Yarrowia lipolytica: one gene and its partner. The protein of the gene in region 1 interacts with the protein of each later gene in a pairwise test. Links are inferred from orthologs where the notes say so. Each region holds a gene or a part of one and is shown on either strand. Other genes may lie near its edges.

Region 1 (12,035 bases):
CACTGTCCTTGGAGGTCTTGGCAATGTTGAGCAGCTGCAGCCACTCGGCTTCTCCACCCTTGGCAACACCTGCCTTGAAGACGGTAGCCATAATGTTGGGATTGATTCGAGTGGTGGGGGTCTCAATGTAGGAGTCAAACAGACCCTTGGCGTAGCCGGTCACAGCAGGATGCTCAGAGGAGACAGCAAAGGCGAAGAGCAGAGCCTTCACCTGCTGCACAATCTCGTCCTCATCTTCGGGCCAGGAAGTGAGATCAAAGGGAGCGGCCGAAAGCACAAACAGACGCAGATTTCGCAGTTTCACGAGCGTAGACTTGTCAGCAAACCGCAGCAGCGCGTCGAGCTCACCAAAGGCCCCGGCAATCATCTCCCACACAATCAGCGAATCGTTGCCCTTGATGGAAGACAACAACTTGAGGAGATCAGTGGTAGGCGCCAAACCGCAGGAAGAGAATGCAGTCATGTCATCCACGAGGCCTGCCCGATCAAAAGACGAAAGATGAACGGAGTCAACGAGTAGCGCAACAAGGGCAGAGGGGTAAAGAGTTCGGTACGTACCAACCTGGTGGGCATTGAGCTTGAATACAAAGGGGGTCTTGATTGTGGAGGTTCTGTCACGTAGCTCGAGACTCTTGTCGATCTTACCAGTTGAAGCGTCCAGTAGCTCCAAAAGCACAGGATAGAGAGTGTCTTCTTCGGGAGTCACATCATTGGAAGACAGGAACCGATGCTGGGTCACCTTGGTCTCGCCATCTCCATTCTCAACTTTTACGTAAGGGTAACCAACCTTCTTGGTCCAGGTGGTCATGATCGAAACCACGTCTTTGCCAGAAGTGGAAGCAAGAGCGTCCCACAGATCGGTGGTCACTGTGCATCCATAGGCGTGATCCTTGAGGTACTTGGAGACGCCCTTAAGGAAGACATCTAGACCGAGGTAGTCAGAGATCATCCGCAGGACAGAACCTCCCTTGGAATAAGAGATGGCATCAAAGATCTGCGGCAGCTCCTTGGCAGTTCGAACATTGACCTCAATGGGATGAGACGATCGCAGACAGTCGAGATCGAGAGCTCTGACGACATTGGCGGTGTAGAAGCCCTCCCAGATGTTCCACTGGGGAAAGAAATGATCCATCGCAAGGTACGACATCCAGGTGGCAAAGCCCTCCTTGAGCCACAGACCCTCCCACCAATCCATGGTGACAAGATTGCCAAACCACTGATGGGCCAGCTCGTGCATGACAATCTCAGCACAGTGCTGCTTCTGAGACAGAGAACAGGTTTCAGCGTCGTAGAGCAATGCTGCATCTCTGAAAGTGATCAGACCCCAGTTCTCCATCGCTCCAATGGCAAAATCGGGAATGCCAATGAGATCAATCTTTTCGACAGGCACATCAATGCCAAAGATCTTCTCAAAGTATGTGAGCGTCTTGGCTCCGTATTCGGCGGCAAACTTGCCCTTGTGTGCCTTGCCAGGAGTGGCGTAGACTCGCACAGGAAGTCTGTAGTTGGTAGTGTCCTCGACGTAGTCGAGCTCACCCACCACAAACGCCACGAGGTAGGTGCTCATGAGCGGAGTGGGTTTGAACGTCACTTTCTTTTTTTGGCCGCCATCATGGGGCTCCTCGTTTCGCACAGCCATGTTGGAGAGACACGTGAGATTCTTGTCTGCAATTAGGGTGATGTTAAAAACCGCCTTGAGTGCAGGCTCATCGAAACAGGGGAATGCTCGTCGGCAAGAAGCAGGCTCCATGTGGGTAGTGGCGAGGTATTTTTTGTTTCCCGCCTCATCCGTGTATGTGCTCTTGTAGAAACCGTTGAGCAGGTCGTTGAGAATGCCGACAAATGTGATTTTGACCTTGACCTCGTCGAGATCAATAATCTTGGGGAACTTAAACGTGACCGTTTCGGCATCTTTGTCGTAGGTGACGGTCGCCTCTCCAATTTCTTCAATGGCAACTCGGGAGATCTCCTGATCAATCGAGTTGACAGTGAGGGTGTCGGTGGGAGTGTTAACTTCGAGAGAAATGTCGCATTGGCCATTGTACTTGAAGGTGGTAAAGTCAGGCTCCAGAGTCAGGTGGTAGAACTTGGGCGTGAAGTCTGTGGGTAGGAGCACCCGGGACGTAGAAGAGGGGCTGTGTTAGCGCTCATTGACCGATTCATCCCAAAGCTGGAGACGGAAGATTGGCTTAACGGAGTTGGAGACACAAGATCGAGTAGCTACCACTGGTCCCATAACAGAAGCAGAATACCGCTGAATCGATTCAGACAGAAAAGAAGAAACAGCAGTAGCTTGTGGTAGTGCCTTAGTCCCTCTGATCTGGTGGCAGAGAGTGATTCAATTCTCTCTCTCTCTCTCTCTCTCTCTCTCTCTCTCTCTCTCTCTCTCTCTCTCTCTCTGTATGTCACTGGCCAACTTATTTCTGCCCTGCCAACGTCAGACCGCTCATTCCTGCCAATTGTACTCACTCAGATCCACACATGTTGTCAGTAGGCGGTATGGTGCTGATGGCAAGTTTCGTGGTACACAGGTAAACGTGTTGGGCTTTGGTGTCCTTCATATATGCACCCCGGAATGCCGTTCCATGCAGGCAGAGCTTGACCGGAGTCCATGAGACAATGATAAGAGGATGGAGTGGAGCACTGAGTCAGCGGTAGAAGATACGAAAATACGGGCGGTAAAAATAAACACGACGTGCAGGTAACTCTGGATCCCTTTTCCCTGGAATGAGATTATGAGCTTTGTCGGGTGACTGAGCTCTATCAAGTCACCAATTCATCTCAACTAATTTCCTACTATTAAAAATAAAATCTTCTTGATTTCAGTTAGATCAAAATATGGGCACTGCTTGGGTTTACTTAGCTTAAAAAATTGCCCAGGCTAGTCTGACAAAAGATATTTTTGAGTGAAAGATGACGCCTGATAACCTCCTCCCTTATCCCCGAAGATGCCTCAAGGCACTCTGGCACCCTGGCACACTTCACGCTCCTCTCCGCTTGATGTTCATCCTTACAGCTCACTCGGTGACGCTCACACAGACGAGTGTCAAACTCACATAGCTACGATGCATGCATAGCAGAACTACTGCTCAGGTCTACAGCAGAGTGGGTACTCACTACGGCTCCTGTCTTCAGTCCACAGCTCATAATCCTAATAATACATTCTCTATCACTCGTGTTTATAATCGTCACCCACTCCAAAGGACCCTCCCATGGTAGTGAAATCGCCCAAGTAGTTGTCAGTAAACTCGTCCAGATGCATATCCTCCTGGATACCGCCTCCGAGTTCGTGGTGCAAGTCGAACCGGGAGTCGAACCCGGGAGAGTTCATGTCGCCGAGGTGCATTCCGGGGGCGGGTGCAGCTGGCTGTTGCGGCTGCTGCTGTCCGTGGCCGTTGTGGAGATTCATCATGTCCATGGGGGGCAGATGCATCGCCTGAGAAGGTGCAGCTGGCTGGGCTTGCACGGGTTGAACAGCCTGGGGAGGAGGCTGCTGAACAGCCTGGGACACAACTTGGGGTGTAGGAGCAGGAGCAGGCACCTGTTGGGCTACCTGAGACACCTGCTGAGGAATCTGAGGCTGAGACACCTGCTGGGACTGTCCGGAAGACTGGCCCGACTGGCCAGAAGCAGACGAGGGGCCAGACTGTGTACCAGACTGAGTCTGGCCCTCCTCCTTCAGCGCCCTCGTACTTTCCACACCCTCCATTGTGCTGGCCTTGTCCAACAACGCGTTATGCAGCGCCACTGCATCCTCGTACACAAACGAGCCCTCCTCATTATATTGCTTCGCGTTGGCAAACATGAGGGCAAACTCCTCAAGAAACTGATCCAGGCTCTGGTAGTACGAGCTCTGGATTCGCTTCGAGATCTGGGCGCACGAAATCGGCTGCTTAATGAGAATGTAGTAGTCTGGGTAGTCCGTCTTGCTGGGTAGCTCCAAAAACAGATTGATTCGGGCCCGGCCAGTCGAGTCCTCCACATTCAACACGTGGTTGTACAGCGTCTTCATGATGCCCAGCAGCGCCTTTCGAGCCTCGGGGGTCAGTGTGTCCTTGGGTCTACCCCTTCCCCGAGCCTTCTTCTTGGGCTGCTCGTCCTCCACCTGCATCATCGGATCCTTGGTCTGCTTTCGAGACCGCTTTCGCTTGACTCCGGGAGAATCAAGGTCCTCCAGCTCGTCCAGGGGAGACGCAGTCGCAGCTGCAGCGGCCGCACCACTCTTCTTGGCCTGCCGTCGCTTGTTGTCGGCCCGCTTCTTGGCAATGGTCTCATCCATGTCAACGTCATTGTCGATAGCCTCGAGCCACTGCTCCTCGGTGAGTCCATCGTCGTAGTGCAAGACCTTTCGCTCTCGGGCTCCACGGCCAAATTGGTCTGTGTTGATGGGCTCCACAGCCAGCTTGATGTCCCGCTTATACGCCTCTGGCAGCTCCTCTTCAGTGAAAAGTCTTTCAATCTTGCCCTTGCCATACTGGGACGTGGCGTGTCGTTCCGCATCGAGCTGCGCAAACAAGATTCGCTCCTCGTCATTTCTAGCCAGAATCTCGTTGAGCTCCTCGTCGTCCACGTCATCGTCGCCCTTTTCCTTCTGCTTTTCCTCCCGCTCAAGCAGACCTCGCAGGAACGCCTCCTGCTCCTCTGCTGTCGACTTGTTATCAAACTTACCGGCCTGAATGACCTTGCCGTCGATATCCAGCTTCTTGTGCGCCCTCTCGAGAATATTTTCTTCAACAGAGTCTTCGGTGATAAGCCGCAGGATTCGCACTTCCTTTGTCTGACCGATTCGGTGCGCACGGTCCTGAGCCTGCAGATCCTGATGGGGGTTCCAGTCAGTGTCGTAGATGATGACTGTGTCGGCCGTCTGCAAGTTCAGACCAAGACCTCCGGCTCGAGTGGACAGCAGGAAGGCAAAGTAGGGCGAGTCGGGGGCATTAAACTTCCCAAGCAGACCGGATCGGTCCTCGGACTTTGTTCCACCATCAAGTCGAAGGTATTGCCAGCCCTTGAGCCGCATGAAATCTTCCATAATATCCATGATCTGCGTCATCTGGAAAAACATGAGAATACGGTGACCTGCAGCCTTGAACTTGGGCAGAATTCGGTCCAGGAGCTCGAATTTACCTGCAGTTCGCCACAGGTTATCGTTTGTCAGTCGGTTGGGGTTCACCAGATCTTCAACCTCCTCGAACACAAAGGGATGATTGCAAATCTTTCGTAGCTGCATGACCTGGTTGTTTAAACCCTTCAATCCGGTCTTTGTAGCACCCTGAACACCCTCACCAATAAACAAGACATTGTGTTTGATCATCTGCTGGTACAGCTTGGACTGTAGAGCGCTCATCTTGCACTTGAGCACCTTTTCCACCTTGTCAGGCAGATCCTTGGCCACATCCTTCTTGAGACGTCGCAGAAGGAATGGTCGGAGGACTTTATGGAGACGTTTGATGATCAGCAAAGTCTCTTCTTCGGAAAGATCCATCTTGTCCTGGCCACCAGTAGACGCAAAGGGGGTATTGAACCACTCGTCAAACGACTTGACCGAGTTGAAAATCTTGGGCAGCACAAAGTTGAGCAGGGCCCACAGCTCGGGAAGCGAGTTCTGGAGAGGAGTACCTGTCAGAATGAGTCGGTACCGGGTGTGGTAGTACTGAGTCAGGGTGGACGACAGCTTGGACTGCGCATTCTTCATTCGATGACCCTCATCAATAATCATGTGGACCCACTTGATTCGAGACAGCACAGGCCGGTCCTTGATGATGTACTCATAGGTCGTGAGCAGTACCTGGAAGTCTCCGGCTCGAATAGCGTTCTGCTGCGCCTTACGGGCCATGGGGGGGCCTTTATAGACGAGCTTTTTGATAGCAGGCGCCCACTTTTCGAACTCGAGCGTCCAGTTGGTGAGCGTGGAGAGTGGGACAATGACCAGGTAAGGTCCAGGAATCTTCTTGGTCTCAATGAGATAGGCAATGAGCGAAATCGTCTGGATTGTCTTTCCAAGACCCATCTCATCGGCCAAGATACCGTTCAGGTTGTTGTTGAATAGAGAGAGCATCCACTGAAGACCCTTGATCTGATATTCCTTAAGCTGACCACCCACAAGCATATCGGGCTGTTTGCTGACGGGTTCCTGGATTCGATGAGCAACCGCATAGTAGTCGGCCTTCTTCTGGTTGTCGGGATCCTCGTCATCCATATCTTGTTGAGGACCAAAGTCGACGTGATTGCCGTTGCTGTTGTTGCTCTTCTGCTGGTCCTTGACAGCCTGCGCAAGCGAGTCCAGGAACGTATTGGTCTGTCGCAGTAGATCTGTGATACGCGTGTCCTTGGTCTGGTCAAGCAGCTTGATGTAGGCTTCCTCGTCGTTGGCCCGCAGAGCCTGCAGTCGCTGCTTGGCGTTTCGCTCCATTCGCTTCTGCTCCTCACGCTCAGTGAACACGTGATAGTTCTGACATGCCTTGGCGACACGAGCCTGTCGTAGTCGTCTTGAACGAGATGCGTTGATTGTGTCCTGCGCGTGCTTGCAGATGTGGATGAGCTGCTCGGACCGCACTCGCACCTCGTGTCGCTGGCGCTCCATGAGCTGCTGCGTGCCAAACTGTTCGGTCATGAACGCTTCCTGGAGCGAAGTCTTCTTCATACGTGTGAAGTAGATCTTGTTGTAGGGATCCAGACCGACAGAGTTGAAGTAGAACGTGTCAGCAAGGAGATCGCCTCTCCAGGCCTTTTGGTGGTCGATTAACTGCAGTGATTTGAGCTCGATTGCGTTGTCTAGTGCTGTGGTGTCATCGGAACCAGTTGAGTCAGCAGACTCCTCGTCGACTTCCTCGTCAAGCTCTGGCACATCTAGATCACCTTCCTTGAGCTCAGTAATCCGATCACTAATCTGCTTGTTAACCTGCTCCTCGTACAGATCTTTGATCACCTCGGCGTCCATACCACGGGGCATAATTGATGGAATAAAGGTTCGACGCTTGTCCAGGAACGCGGGAGTGGTGATATCATCGAAAGAAAAGGTTCCCTCCAAAAGGAGACAGGGATCCTTGTAGCCAGAAATGGTTTCTGGAGCAGCTGGAGGAGGGGGAGGGACAGCGGGGGCTGCGATGGGAGTCACTCCGTCGATCTCCTGTTTGGACGATCGTCTCAGGCCAGTCTGAGAGGGAGTTCGTCGCTTGCCCATGCCAGGAGAGTTTGTATCGGAAGACACGGCCGGTGACTGCGACCGGTTGGCGTTCTGGAACATGGGGCTCTGAGGAATGCCAGCGGGCGACTGCATCTGCTGAGCCATCGGGGGTTGACCCATGGAAGGCTGCTGCATCGGGGGCTGCTGTTGTTGTTGCTGAGTCATCTGAGGTTGCTGCTGCTGCTGCGGAGGCTGCTGCTGGGGCTGAGTCATCTGAGGAGGCTGGCCAGTGGGTCTGAACAGCGCCTGAAGCACCTGAGGGGGAATGACAGCACCCTTGCTCAGCTGTCGGTACGCCATGAGCTGGTTCTTCATCTGCATGAGCATGTCAGGTGTGTATGGTGAGTTCTGTTGCTGTGGCTCCAGGTGGGGTGTGGGCGACTGCCGGGGCATGCCCTGGGCACCCACGACACCGGGCTGATTGTGGGGCGGAACGGGAGAGCCGTTCATACTCTGCATGCTGCTGTTGGAGTTCTGGTACATGCCTGCAGAGGAGGGTTTGCGCTGTTGCTGGGGCTGCTGGGGTTGGCCAGGCGAGGGGAATTGAGGAGTGCCCATCTGGGGCGTCATGTTGCCCTGGGGTGTGCCCTGCTGCATCTGCTGCGGCTGGCCCATGGCCTTCATCCGGTGCTGCTGCTGTTGCTGCTGCTGTTGCTGCTGGCGGAACATATGCTGGCGTTGCGAGTACGCTTTGAGAATTTTGGAGAGCTCGACGAACTCTTGGGAAGAGCTGGCGTTGGCTCCGAGACGGGTCTGGAGTTCTTTGTAGCGCTGGGTTAGTAGAGGAACGAGTAGTCATACGTCACGAGAAGACCATTGAGTGAGGCAGTCACGGTGGAAAACGACGATATGACGTCGGACATCATCTGTAGACTATAGACACGACTGGTGTGTCAACAACGCCTACGACAACGGTGCCTTTAGCTGCTGAAAACACAGAGATATTTGGTAGTGCCAATGAATCATCACGTCGATGATCATGCCTGTGCCATCATTGACGACGTCGACGACACCCGTGAACAACAGTCCTTGACACGTCAACGCGGCACCGTCATTGTTGTGATGACATCGTTGCACCGAACATGATGCATCGACATCCATGATCACTATAACAGCTATAGTCGCGTCGTTGGTTATAATTGTCAACGTCATCATCGTCTCTCGAGGTGTGTCTGAGATCGCGTCTGGAAGTGCCCGTCGTGGGTAACTCATCATCATCGATGATGTGTCGACGACGTCAGTGGGATCGATATACTGCTGACATCATTCACACGCGATAGATTAAGGTCGTCCATCACGTCGTCCACGTGCATCTTTCTGTCCAGTTTCATCATGTCCCATCGTGCACTTGACGAGACTGATAGCGTTGACGTTATCGCGTACTGAGAGACTGGCAACTTCGCTGCTCGCCCTGCTCGCTTGGCTCGCTCTGCCCGCGCTGCTCATACTCACCGCATAAATCCTGTTCATATCCTCCATATTTCGCGGCGGCTGCACCGCCATATCCATCATCGGAGTTCCCGGACCCTGCCTGTTGCCAAAGCTAGGCGATGGCGTAGCCAGATCGCTCTGCGCGTCCATCTGGCCCATGCCCGAGTCCATCATTCCGTCCATGAATCCCTGGGGACCCATGCCCATGTCGCTTTGCATGTTGGGGTATGAGTTCACTGTGTTAGACGAGGTCGTCCTGTCGTGGAGCGTGTTGCGTGTGCTGCGTGCTGCTACTCACTAACGCGTGTCACGTGATGTGCTGAGCGCTCGAAATGCTTTCCGGCTTGTCACTCTTTGTAACCTCGGTAGCTATGCTGTGTGGAGCGTAGTGCGTGGATGGGGGGGGAGCGGGCGCACCAGAGGGTTGGGGATTCAGTCTTTTGCGCCGGCGGACGACTCCCTAGTGTGGCAAACTACGTATTGGGTAAGCAGGGCGCAGGGTACACTTCCCGAACTGGGGGTGTGGAGGTCCAGCCAATGGGAGGCCGTTGGGACAACGACGTGTTGTAGCGACCCACCCAGCGACAACTAACGTGTCTCTTTTGCAGGCCAAAGAGGGGACTACCAACCGGTATTTTTGCCTCTGCCCAATTTAGCCAAAGATAAGATAAAACCTGGCTTCTGTCTCTTCATGTGAGTGTGGATTCTTGTCCTTGTGTTTTGCTTTTTTTTAGAGTTAGGAGCTGTGGCGAGCGCATGACGACGAGAAAACGCACCCTACGATGGGGACCGGGTTGCCTGTTGGGGTGGCGCCAGTGTCCCTGTCCTTGTGTCTGTGTGGTCGTCTCCCGCGAGTATGTATATGAGTCCAGCTCGCTGTTGTTTCCCGCCTTGTGTTTCCCACGAGTCTTCTCAGTTCTACCTTTGTCCGGCCTATCATTTTAAGGTGCTGCCAAAAAGCCCCATAAACTCTCACGGGTGTCAGGGTGGGTATTCCCTGGGGAAGGGGTGGTGTGAGGGCAAATGTCGATGCTGTGGGCGGCATAGGGGTCGCCTGGGGACAAAAAGTAGAGCGGAATAGCCAGCGCGCCACGACGGTTCGAATGGTACCGCTCATGTGGCAATATCTCGCTCCCCCAGCTTTTCGGATCCTCCGTAAATCACGCGATGTGTGCATGCAGTTTGGAGCAAGCGCTACAGCACCTCACACTTATGGACGAGGCGAATAGCTGAGAGCGGTATGAGTAGGGGGAAGAGGGGCGGGAGAGGAGCGGGCGGAAGTCCGAACAGAGGGCGTTGGTAAGAGTGGAAGCCCCAACTGGACTGCTCTTTTGTTTCTTGTTTTGTCGTTGTTTTGTACTCGTCATGGTCATCTCTTCTTTTTTTTTGACCATCTTGTTTTTTCCATCGACTTTTTCTACTCGCTCGTACTGTATGCCAACGTTGCCGCTTGCTTCACCCTCCATCTCTCCTAAGCTTGGGGATACAGAGGGGGACTATGTAAGGTCAACAACAGCAGGGTGTTGCAGAGACACCATACAGTATGTACCAGTAAACTTGTATACCAAGCGACAAGGCGGTGGAGTGGGGTGGAAGGTGTCTTGATACCGGTACCGTACCGTGTTCAAGGCCGGATTGAGCGACTTGGTGTCGTCAGAAAGTCGCCGTATTCTCTTGTAAACGCTCATTTCCGCTCCCCATTTCCGACTCCAAATCCGCACAAAGACCAGCCTCGGTCGCCTCGCATCTCCCGGCCTAAGGCATGTATTTTCGCAGCTTTCGATCTATGGTAGATCCGAGCTAAAGGTGCACAGAGTTGTGTGGATGAGGCAACAGCCAGACCGATGCACAAGTGTGTGGAGAGCGGTTGGGCCGCGTGGGTGTGTTTCCAATAGTCTATGGCACGTTGGGGCCCGTCTTAGTCCCCTTTTCAATCGGCCTTTTTCAGCTCAAACTTGCGACAAGTACTAACACTTGTACGCCATCACCTCTGTATAGCCTTAACTCTAACCAAGGTGGACACGATAAATGGGGGACATATGACGAAGTAGAATTCTGGAAACAGGGTCCGATTGCGACCAACGGGACGTCAAAATGACCACGTGACCGAGAGGAGATCGGTTATGCCGCCTATTTCGCCGCAGCTGGTCCGTACAACTAGCCATATGGTCCCCCAACACCTCCCCCCTCAAACTAACTCTGACACAATGCAGACTATGGCAACTTACTCTTAATTTGCAAACCGTCATTTTCGACTTTTGGGCGGGGTCTTCAAATCAGTTTGAAGACGAGATACCGCAATTCTGAAGAGACAGATGAGCTTGAAATGGCGCGAATGCCAAGAAAATGTGTTTTTGTTACGTCGATATCCGCCCATTTCACAAAACTCGGAGCCTTTCTCTGCGACACGCGCGCGAGGTGTGAGGTGAGAAACCACACGTCTGGCCTATGAGCACATATTGCCAACTGGCATGGAAAAAGATAGCCCTTAAAGGAAGAGGAAGCCCCGTTCATCATCTTCATCCTCTCCACTCTTCTCCCACTCCAATACTTTTCATTCCATAGCAACTCCTTCGCTCCCCCGTCCCCCCAAATATCCTACAATTACACTCTGTCCCTGAGACAATGAGACATGGTCAGAGGTTGGTCCAGGAGGGTCATGTGTGGTCACATTTGTCTACAAGTACACACTTGAGACCTCCTCAGTTGCTCTATATAACTCACTAGCTCCGATGTTACTAATCTTACTAATCCCACAACTCCAATGGCATTTTACAACACTGCCTAAAGTGGGCCCGAATACGGACATGGTGCATCGTCCCATCAAAGCAGCCTTCGGACCTCCGCCAGAAGAGGTAGAATGCAGGTTTTCAGTTGCTTATGAAGTGCTAGGATAATTGGTCGAAAACTGGCAGAATAAGAACAGAAAAAGCTCCATCCGGTGCAGATCTCCACGAGGACCACGACACTGCGCTTAGAATTGCAATCGCATGTCTGGCTGTGGAGTTAGGTGGAGTTAGGGCGGAGTTTGATAGAAAAAGCCGGATTCAGGTCCAGAAGAAAGGGCACAATTTGCATGGACGTATCGTCTACCGCTCCAATAAGACGGCATGTAGCTGTCCATTCTAGACCTTTGGTCTTTCGTTCACAGGTTTACACATTCCACGGTCCACGCTCCGCTCTTATCCGACCAGCTAAAATAAGCTCCAAAAATTATCGCCAATGCGAGGCCCAAGATTACAGACGCTTTCCAAGCAGAGATATTAGTAAGAGGAGAAAGTTAGGCGGGGAGGCCAGGTCACATGACCACCACTCGGGTCTTAGATAATCAGCTACAGCAACACTTCACGACCAAAATTAGTCAGCAGAACCACGTTTTGGATCCCCCTTTTCTGCCGTTCCATGTCTCACTCTTACATAC
Region 2 (7,925 bases), on another chromosome or scaffold:
AGCAACCTCCTAATTCCTTCATTCAAACGATATGGAAAAATACACAGTGACCGAAGAGTACGCCAAGGACATGGTTGGCCGGTTGCTCGGCGGGTTCGACAAGGAGACCGTCGCCCAGCTGGTGGATCAGGGCATGAAGAAAACCGATCCTCTGGAGGTGCACAGCTACTTTGTGGAGCTTCTGGGCGAGTCTGAGCCGGTGTTCCGGTTTGTGGAGGAGTTCAACCGCAAGCGGTTCTCGTCCAAGAAGCTGGAGAAGTCCAAGGCTGAAAAAATGGCCAAGAGCGAGCCCCCCAAGAAGAAGGCATCGTGGGCCACCAGAACGGCAGGAGAAAAGGTGGAGGAGGAGAAACAGAAGAAGGAAAAGACACCTCGCAACCGGCTGGCCGGCGTGGGTAAGGGCGGAGCAACAACTTCCGAACTGCTGGATCTCAAGCCCAAGACCAAGGCCAAAAACAAAATCAAGGTGGATTCGATTGCCGAAATCGACCAGGCATTACGGGACCTGGAGCTGGTGGAACATGGAGATGTGCGCAAAGACGGCACCACGGCGCGCGCAAAATGCGACTGCATGGCTTCCCGACACCCGTTGCTGGAGGTTGCCCCCAACTGCATGAACTGTGGCAAGATCCATTGCCTGAAGGAAGGGCTAGGGCCGTGCACATTCTGTGGCACTCCTCTGTTGAGTGCGGAGGAGCGCAATGAAATTTCGTCGGTTTTGTACCAACAAAAGGAGGACATTCGGTCTGTGAACGCCCCCAAACAGGCGGTGCCCAAAAAGAAACAAAAGGCCATCAAGTACAACTTATCTAATGCTGGGGGGCGGGCTGCGCAGGAAGAGGCCATCAAACAGATGGAGGAGGAGAACCGGCAGGCGCAGGAGGCCAAGGAGAAGGAGCTTCAGCAGGCCAAGGAGCGGCTTGACACCCTGATGGCGTTCCAGGACAGTCAGGCGGAGAGAACCCGGATCATCGACAACGTGGGCGACTTTGAACTGCCCTCGGCAGGTGTCAACCAGTGGGCTTCGGCGACAGAGAGGGCGTTGCAGCTCAAGAAGCAGCAGCGGCAAATGGCCAAGATGGAGGAACGAGACGCTCGGAAAAAGGGCAAGAAGCATGTCATTTCGCTGGGTCTGGATGGCAAGATCCGAGAGCAGGAAATGGAGGACGATAGCACAGATGACGAGGAGTTGAGAGAACTTGAGTCCAAGATCAAGTCTGAAAAGCAAGAGGTGGCGGAGCTGAACTCGCAGAACGTGTGGAACCCGGCCATGGCTGACTCCAAGTTGAAGCGCGTCAAGTACGTGTCTAGAGGAGATGTTCAGGAGCGACGGGTTGAGGAGAGGGGCATTATTGACATTGACGGTGAGGATGATGAAGAGCGGCTCATGCGGTTGTAGGGATAGGTAAATACTCGTAATCTATATCATTCATATTCAGGTAATATCTACAAAGTGTTAGTTATACAAGTAATTGCTCTCTTGTTTTCGTTCAGAATAAATAATTACATGGCGCCTACAGAATAGGCAGAAAGTTGCCGACAATCATCATGGGAATGTCAAACACGTCTCGTTTGATGGTCAGCGAACACGCCGTGTTGACCACCTCGCCTGAGGGTTTGGTGAGGCCAAACGTGGTGGTAATCGTGCCTCTGCTGTCTCCAAACGCCAGCTCGGAGAAGACGTCAAAGTACTGTACCACAGACTTGTTGTCCATGCACTCGATGATGAACTGACTCAGCAAATCTGCCTGCGATCGCATCGTCAGCACACAAAACTCCTTTCCAACGGCAGCTATCTGGCCGGTTCGTCTCCAGAGCACCGTGGGCGTTCCACTTAACGAAATGTACTTTTCAAACTCCAGCAGCGTGCGTTGGAAGCACTTTTCCATGAACACAAGATCTTCGTACTGCAGGGTCTGGGTGGTGGCTATGAACGACGGCCGGTAGAAGGCCATGCTTTTGACCACGTCCAGTAGCTCCTTTTTCTCGAACCGGCTTTTGAGATACGCAATCAGCGCATGGAACCCCGTTGTGTACGCATAGGGCTTTGTTATACTGGTGTAGATGTCTGTCGGCGATCCCTGGGGCGTTCCCGCAGTTTGGCTGCCTTCTTCCTCCATGTGAAGACCCGGAATCGACATGGGAGACGGCATATGGGGACTTTGGGCGGGAAAGAAGTCTGGAGGTGAAGACGTGTCTCCGCGACCCAGAATGTTGGACAAGATGGAGTATTCCAAGTTGGCGGCAGACGAGCCGAAGTCCGTGTCCGGAGGGCCCATTCCATGCTGCACCGCCTGCTGTTGCTGTTGCTGTTGCTGCTGTTTCTGTTGCGTCGCTTGTCCTGGAGGCGTCGGAGGGAGTCCCACCAAGTACTTTGCCTGTTTCCGCTTGCCGTCCACGCACTGGTCTCCCATGTTTTTCTTGATGCAGCGAGCGCACGGGCGGCCCTCGTCACAGGTCAGATGGGCCTTCTGGCAATGCAGACAGGCCCGAGCGGTCTTTCGCCGCTTTTTAGGAGCCGGAGGAGGAGGTGGACTCTCCTGTTTGGCCGGACCTCGCAGTATGGGGTAGAAGGACATGGGTCACGTGAGAGAGAAAATGAGTAGGTCGGGGGGGGGGCCGGGGCCGATGAAGCGATGAGACGGTGGTTGAAAAGGCCTCTGTGGAAGCGCTTACGCGTGTTTTCTGGTGTCCGCTGGATCGTTCTCAAACTGTGCTGAATAGCCCTGGTGTAATGTCCCGCGGAGTTGAATTTTATTGGATGAAAGTTGTTCCGTTTCCCCGCAGGAGTCTAAATCCCCCTCTAGTCGACAAGCCCAAGAGCCTCTTGGCGCACGGGGAAGGAGATATATAGGGCATGTGGAGAGAGACAGTATAATCAGCTACAAGTTTCTACCAAAAAATTGTGACCAAAAGTCGAGCAAACAACAAGGTATTTTTTTGCCTTTGGTCAAGCGACCGTGGGAGACGGATAGGGTTCAGGAAAAACTAGACGCACAAATCACGTGCTGTGACTGAGCCACAGGGCGGATATTTCGAGGCATATTCTATCGCACTAGCGGGATGGATGGTTGAGCGTCGGGCTGACCTGGTCCTATGGTGCAGTGGGGTCACGTGACGTGGGTTTGGGTCGTCGTTTGTTGGGTCACGTGGCAGGTGTTTACCATTTTTGGACACTTTCAAAGAATATAATATCATTAATATCATTAATATCATTAATATGATTTTGGACTTTTATTTCATTTTGGACTTTCTTTTTTTTTTTTCTCTTTTTTTTTGACTACAAGTAGCTTATTCATTGGACTACATTCTCAATTGGACTTCATTGCCAACAGGACTCTTCCCCATGGGAATAATACATGACTAAAACTGTACGTCTTAGTCATCCATTGACGGTTCGCGAATCGCAAAATATTCTGGTCGCCGTCGGACTCTGTTGAGTCCAGAATGGCGTTGTAGTCTAGTCTCACTTTGGTTGGGGTTGGATACGGCGCGGAACAACTAACCTCCAGCATCAACAATGGCTTGAAGCATGATCTGGTAAGAATGGGACCATTGTAGCAGCTGTCTCTTGGCAGAGAGTCCCGTCTAGACTGCTTTGATTGGCTGATTGGCTACCAAGCTGGTTACCATTCGACTGTCGACTGTCGACTGTTGACTCCGCCAGGTATATGCCGGTTTACGCTACGAGTAGTGTTGGTGGCTGTTCGGTAAACCAGCCTGTGCCTTACCGGCCGTTGTGGGCGCTATTCGAGCTACGGCCTAGATCAATTCCGGGGAGCATTGAGCGAATACTACGCCATGGGCTGAAAGAGCAACGAGCGAGACTCAACTGGCCTAACAGTCATTGAACTGACTGGATACCGACGAGAGACCCGAAGGAGAATTGCCGGCGATAGTAAGGCTGAAACAAGTTGCAGGTAGGGAAGGGTGACTATCGAGCCGAGTCGAGTCGAGTCGGGTCGAGTTCGGGTTTGGTACGGGCCGACTCCTCAGTCGGTATGAGTTCATTAATGGTCATAGGTGAAACTGTAGCTCCAAGAGATGCTGTCACCAAAAAGGATACCTTTTTTGAAGGTATAAACTAGGAGAACTCACCATCAAGTCCATCGGAAATACCTGTTTCCCCTTACCTGGTCATAACCTGTCCGTACACTGGTCCACGATAACCATCAATGTCACATTACCGCTACGACAAACTTCACAGTATAAAGAAGGAGATGAGGAAATCTCATAATAAACACCCGTAATTGATACGGGTTAATCAGCACGAGAGGTGATTCCCCAACCACCAGTCTGTCGATCAACAATCAATTTCTTGCCGTTTGTTCCACCACCAAATTCGCGATATTCGTCATTCTCGACTCCTACAGGGTTCATGCGAGTGTTGTGAAAAATATCCCATGGTTTGAGCTAAACAGCACGGTCAGGAGGGGGTTATGGTGGTCAGATTTGGACCACGGATATTTCGTTGTGGTTTTTGAAGCCGTAGAAATTGATTCCACAAACAAAAACCGTCATTTTCAAGCCGCAACACCCTCTTTCGGTCTCTGACCCACCTGCATGGTTGGTCGATAAAGTTATCGTGCATAGCTGGGAAATTTTTATAAAGAAGCTTTCTTCTTCTCACCACCATTGTTGACCCGACCTCTTACCGCACACCCACAATGTCCCTCCCATACTCCGAGCAGCACTACTTTTCGTCGTACGACCACTTTGGCATCCATGAGGAGATGCTCAAGGACGAGTCGCGAACTCTGTCGTACAAGCACGCAATTCTGCGAAACCGAGACCTGTTCAAGGACAAGATTGTGCTGGATGTGGGCTGTGGAACCGGCATTCTGTCCATGTTTGCTGCGCAGGCCGGTGCCAAGCATGTCATGGGCGTGGACATGTCCAACATCATCGAGATGGCCCGAAAGATTGTCGATCTTAACGGACTCAGCGACAAGATTACCCTGATCCAGGGCAAGATGGAGGAGATCACCCTACCCTACCAGAAGGTGGACATTATCATCTCCGAGTGGATGGGCTACTTCCTGCTCTACGAATCCATGCTGGACACGGTGCTGTACGCCCGAGACAAGTACCTGGTCCCCGGAGGTATTATCATGCCCGACAAGTCCACCATCTACGCCGCTCTTTTGGAGGACGGCGAGTACAAGGACGAAAAGGTGTCCTTCTGGGACGACGTCTACGGCTTTGACTACTCGCCCTTCAAGGACATTGTGCTGTCCGAGCCTCTGGTCGACACCGTGGACCTCCGACACGTCATCTCCAACCCCTGCCAGGTGTTTGAGATCGATCTGTACACCGTCAAGGTGGAGGATCTGGCCTTCAAGGCCAACTTTGACCTCAAGGCCCGGGTCAACGACACTGCCCACGCTATTCTGTGTTGGTTCGACATTGAGTTCAACAAGCTCACCACCCCCGTCAAGTTCTCCACCGGCCCCCATGCCAAGTACACTCACTGGAAGCAGACTGTCTTCTACATTGACGGCCAGGTGTCTCTGCGAGCCGGTGACGAGGTGACTGGATCCATTGACTGCCGACCCAACGAGAAGAACAACCGAGATCTGGACATTACTCTGGAGTGGGAGTGCAAGGCTGAGAACAAGGGCGGCAAGCGATTTTACTGCATGAAATAAGCTGGCACGACGACTACTGTAGATCCCACTGTCGGCTCACCGAGTGGCAAGCCAAGCTGTGGCTTTCACTGGAACGGTCTAACAAAAAATTATGTATAGAATGTTAATTGTATTTTTTATGACGACTAACAAGCGGCGAGTACAAGTGAGAGAGATGTGGGTGCTAGGAGACCATTTCTGCTCTATTTCTGCTTTGCAGTACAAATCCTACACCCATCTAGTACATACCAACTAAATCTTACTTTTCTTCCACTAATCACACTCAACAACGAGACGCTGAAATGAAGATATCTCTGATTATTGTGGTGTAGAGATTCTCAAAAGTCATTATTACTTATCAAGTTGCTGATCGACTATCCACACAGCAACTTTCCTAGTCTCCACCGTTTCTACAACCCCGTAAATGAACCCCCAGCTGAATTTTCATCCCCAGTAATTTCAACTAACTTCCTCAACTAGATTGTTAAGATTAGAAGCAGTTCTGTCATCGTCTTGACTCCAACAACCGTGTCTCAGTTCGATTTCCGGTTGGAAAATTTTGATCCGAAAAATTAACGAGCCAATCAATCACACCGAGAAACGAAAGAAAAAGACGGCGGTCACGTGACCCGAGCCAAGGGGGGGAAGGGGCGGGGGGGGAGCCGGGGGGGGTGGGTCACGTGTTTGGACTGTATGGGCTCCGGCTAGGTCACGTGTTTGGATTGATAATGGTAGCTTCTTGTACTAAACTTGTACAGGTCTCCATGGGTGTAATTAGGATTACGCGCATGTACGGCGTTTTGCGTGTATTTTTCATCCCACCATCAGATTGCCTATCGTGTGATGTCTGGGGGGTTGAAAAAATGGCAAGAAAAGCAGCTGAAAAAAGTGCTGATAAGTAGCATTATATATATACATATATATATCTGTGTGTCATGTTGCCCCAAACTCTGGTTGGGTCGTTTCACGTGCACAATCACGTCCTCACCTCCATACAATAATCTGTACTGGTGGTGCTACTGTCGACATATGCACAACCTCCCAGCGGCGTTTCTCTCCACCATCACGACCTGCGCCCTCTCAACATCGACATGTCGGGCAACAACTCACCAATAAACGCGCAGCTGTTCCCCGATGCTCGCGACGTGACCAAGGACGCGCTTCAGACATTTGTGGAGCTCCCGGAGTGCACGTACATGAAGGGTCTGGGCTCGTCTCAGCAGGCGGAAGTCATGGCGTGTGACTGTAAGCCCGGGCCCACGGCGTGTGACGAGGACAGCGGGTGCATCAACCGACTCACTTCCATCGAGTGTGTTCGGTGCTGCAAGGGCTGTCAGAACAAACGGTTCCAGGGCAAAAAATACGCATCGGTGGACGTGATCAGCACAGAAAAGAAGGGGTTTGGACTGCGGGCCACCAAGGACATCGCCGCCGGCGAATTTGTCTACGAGTACGTGGGCGAGGTGATTGACGAGCCGACCTTCAAGGAGCGAACGGCCATCTACACGACCCAGGGCGTCAAGCATTTCTACTTTATGATGCTGCAAAAGGGCGAGTTCATCGACGCTACCGCCAAGGGAGGACTGGGTCGGTTCTGCAACCATTCGTGCGCGCCTAATGGCCACGTGGAAAAGTGGGTCGTGGGCAAACGGCTCAGAATGGGCATTTTCGCATCTCGACACATTCAAAGGGGAGAAGAGGTCACGTTTGACTACAACGTGGACCGGTACGGAGCCGAGGCCCAGGCGTGCTACTGCGGCGAGAAAAACTGTGTCGGCTTTCTCGGCGGAAAAACGCAGACGGAAAGCGCCAGCAAGGTCTCCGGCACCTTGACCGCTGCTCTGGGTCTCACGTCCAGAGATATCAACGCCATTCTGAGAGGCAAAAAGTCGGCCGAGGACTTGCGACCCCGAGACCTGACCGTGCAGGACGTGTCCAAGGTCATGGCGTCTCTCATGATGAACCAGGAAGCCTGGCAGGTCAACCTCATGCTGCAGCGTATTGCTCTGTGCACAGACACGTCCGTCCAGGCAGCAGTCATGAAGATGCATGGATACCAGATCTTCGCGCAGATTCTGACCGCCACGTGGGGCGACAATCCTCTTGGGCTGGACGACAGCGACCGCGTGAACGTGACGCTGATGCTGCTGCGAGTCCTGCAAAAGTGGCCGCGAATCACAAAGAACAAAATCTCCAGTTCGCAGATTGAAAACGTGGTCAAGAGCCTGACGTCCAACGACAACAGTGACATTGCCACCATTGCCCAGGAGCTCTTGTCTGAATGGGCAAACCTGAAAA

Evidence for each region. The genes of interacting proteins can lie anywhere in the genome.
Region 2: the proteins of YALI1_D30097g (region 1) and YALI1_E21983g interact in binary tests that used the Saccharomyces cerevisiae proteins (3 or more experiments, as listed by UniProt). The link is inferred for Yarrowia lipolytica from reciprocal best matches to the Saccharomyces cerevisiae genes SNF2 and HMT1.

Annotation. Positions count from the first base shown.
Region 1 is NC_090773.1:3,006,491-3,018,525, reverse strand, and holds YALI1_D30097g (uncharacterized protein), read right to left. Parts: upstream 8,834-12,035; coding exon 8,636-8,833; intron 7,955-8,635; coding exon 3,170-7,954; downstream 1-3,169. Other genes in the region: YALI1_D30161g (uncharacterized protein), read right to left, coding at 1-2,135, 2,470-2,483. UniProt on the Saccharomyces cerevisiae protein: Involved in transcriptional activation. Catalytic component of the SWI/SNF complex, an ATP-dependent chromatin-remodeling complex, which is required for the positive and negative regulation of gene expression of a large number of genes.
Region 2 is NC_090774.1:2,195,060-2,202,984, reverse strand, and holds YALI1_E21983g (uncharacterized protein), read left to right. Parts: upstream 1-4,667; coding exon 4,668-5,648; downstream 5,649-7,925. Other genes in the region: YALI1_E22029g (uncharacterized protein), read left to right, coding at 32-1,399; YALI1_E22004g (uncharacterized protein), read right to left, coding at 1,515-2,579; YALI1_E21962g (uncharacterized protein), read left to right, coding at 6,719-7,925. UniProt on the Saccharomyces cerevisiae protein: S-adenosyl-L-methionine-dependent protein-arginine N-methyltransferase that catalyzes both the mono- and asymmetric (type I) dimethylation of the guanidino nitrogens of arginine residues in a variety of RNA-binding proteins such as heterogeneous nuclear ribonucleoproteins (hnRNPs) and small nuclear ribonucleoproteins (snRNPs).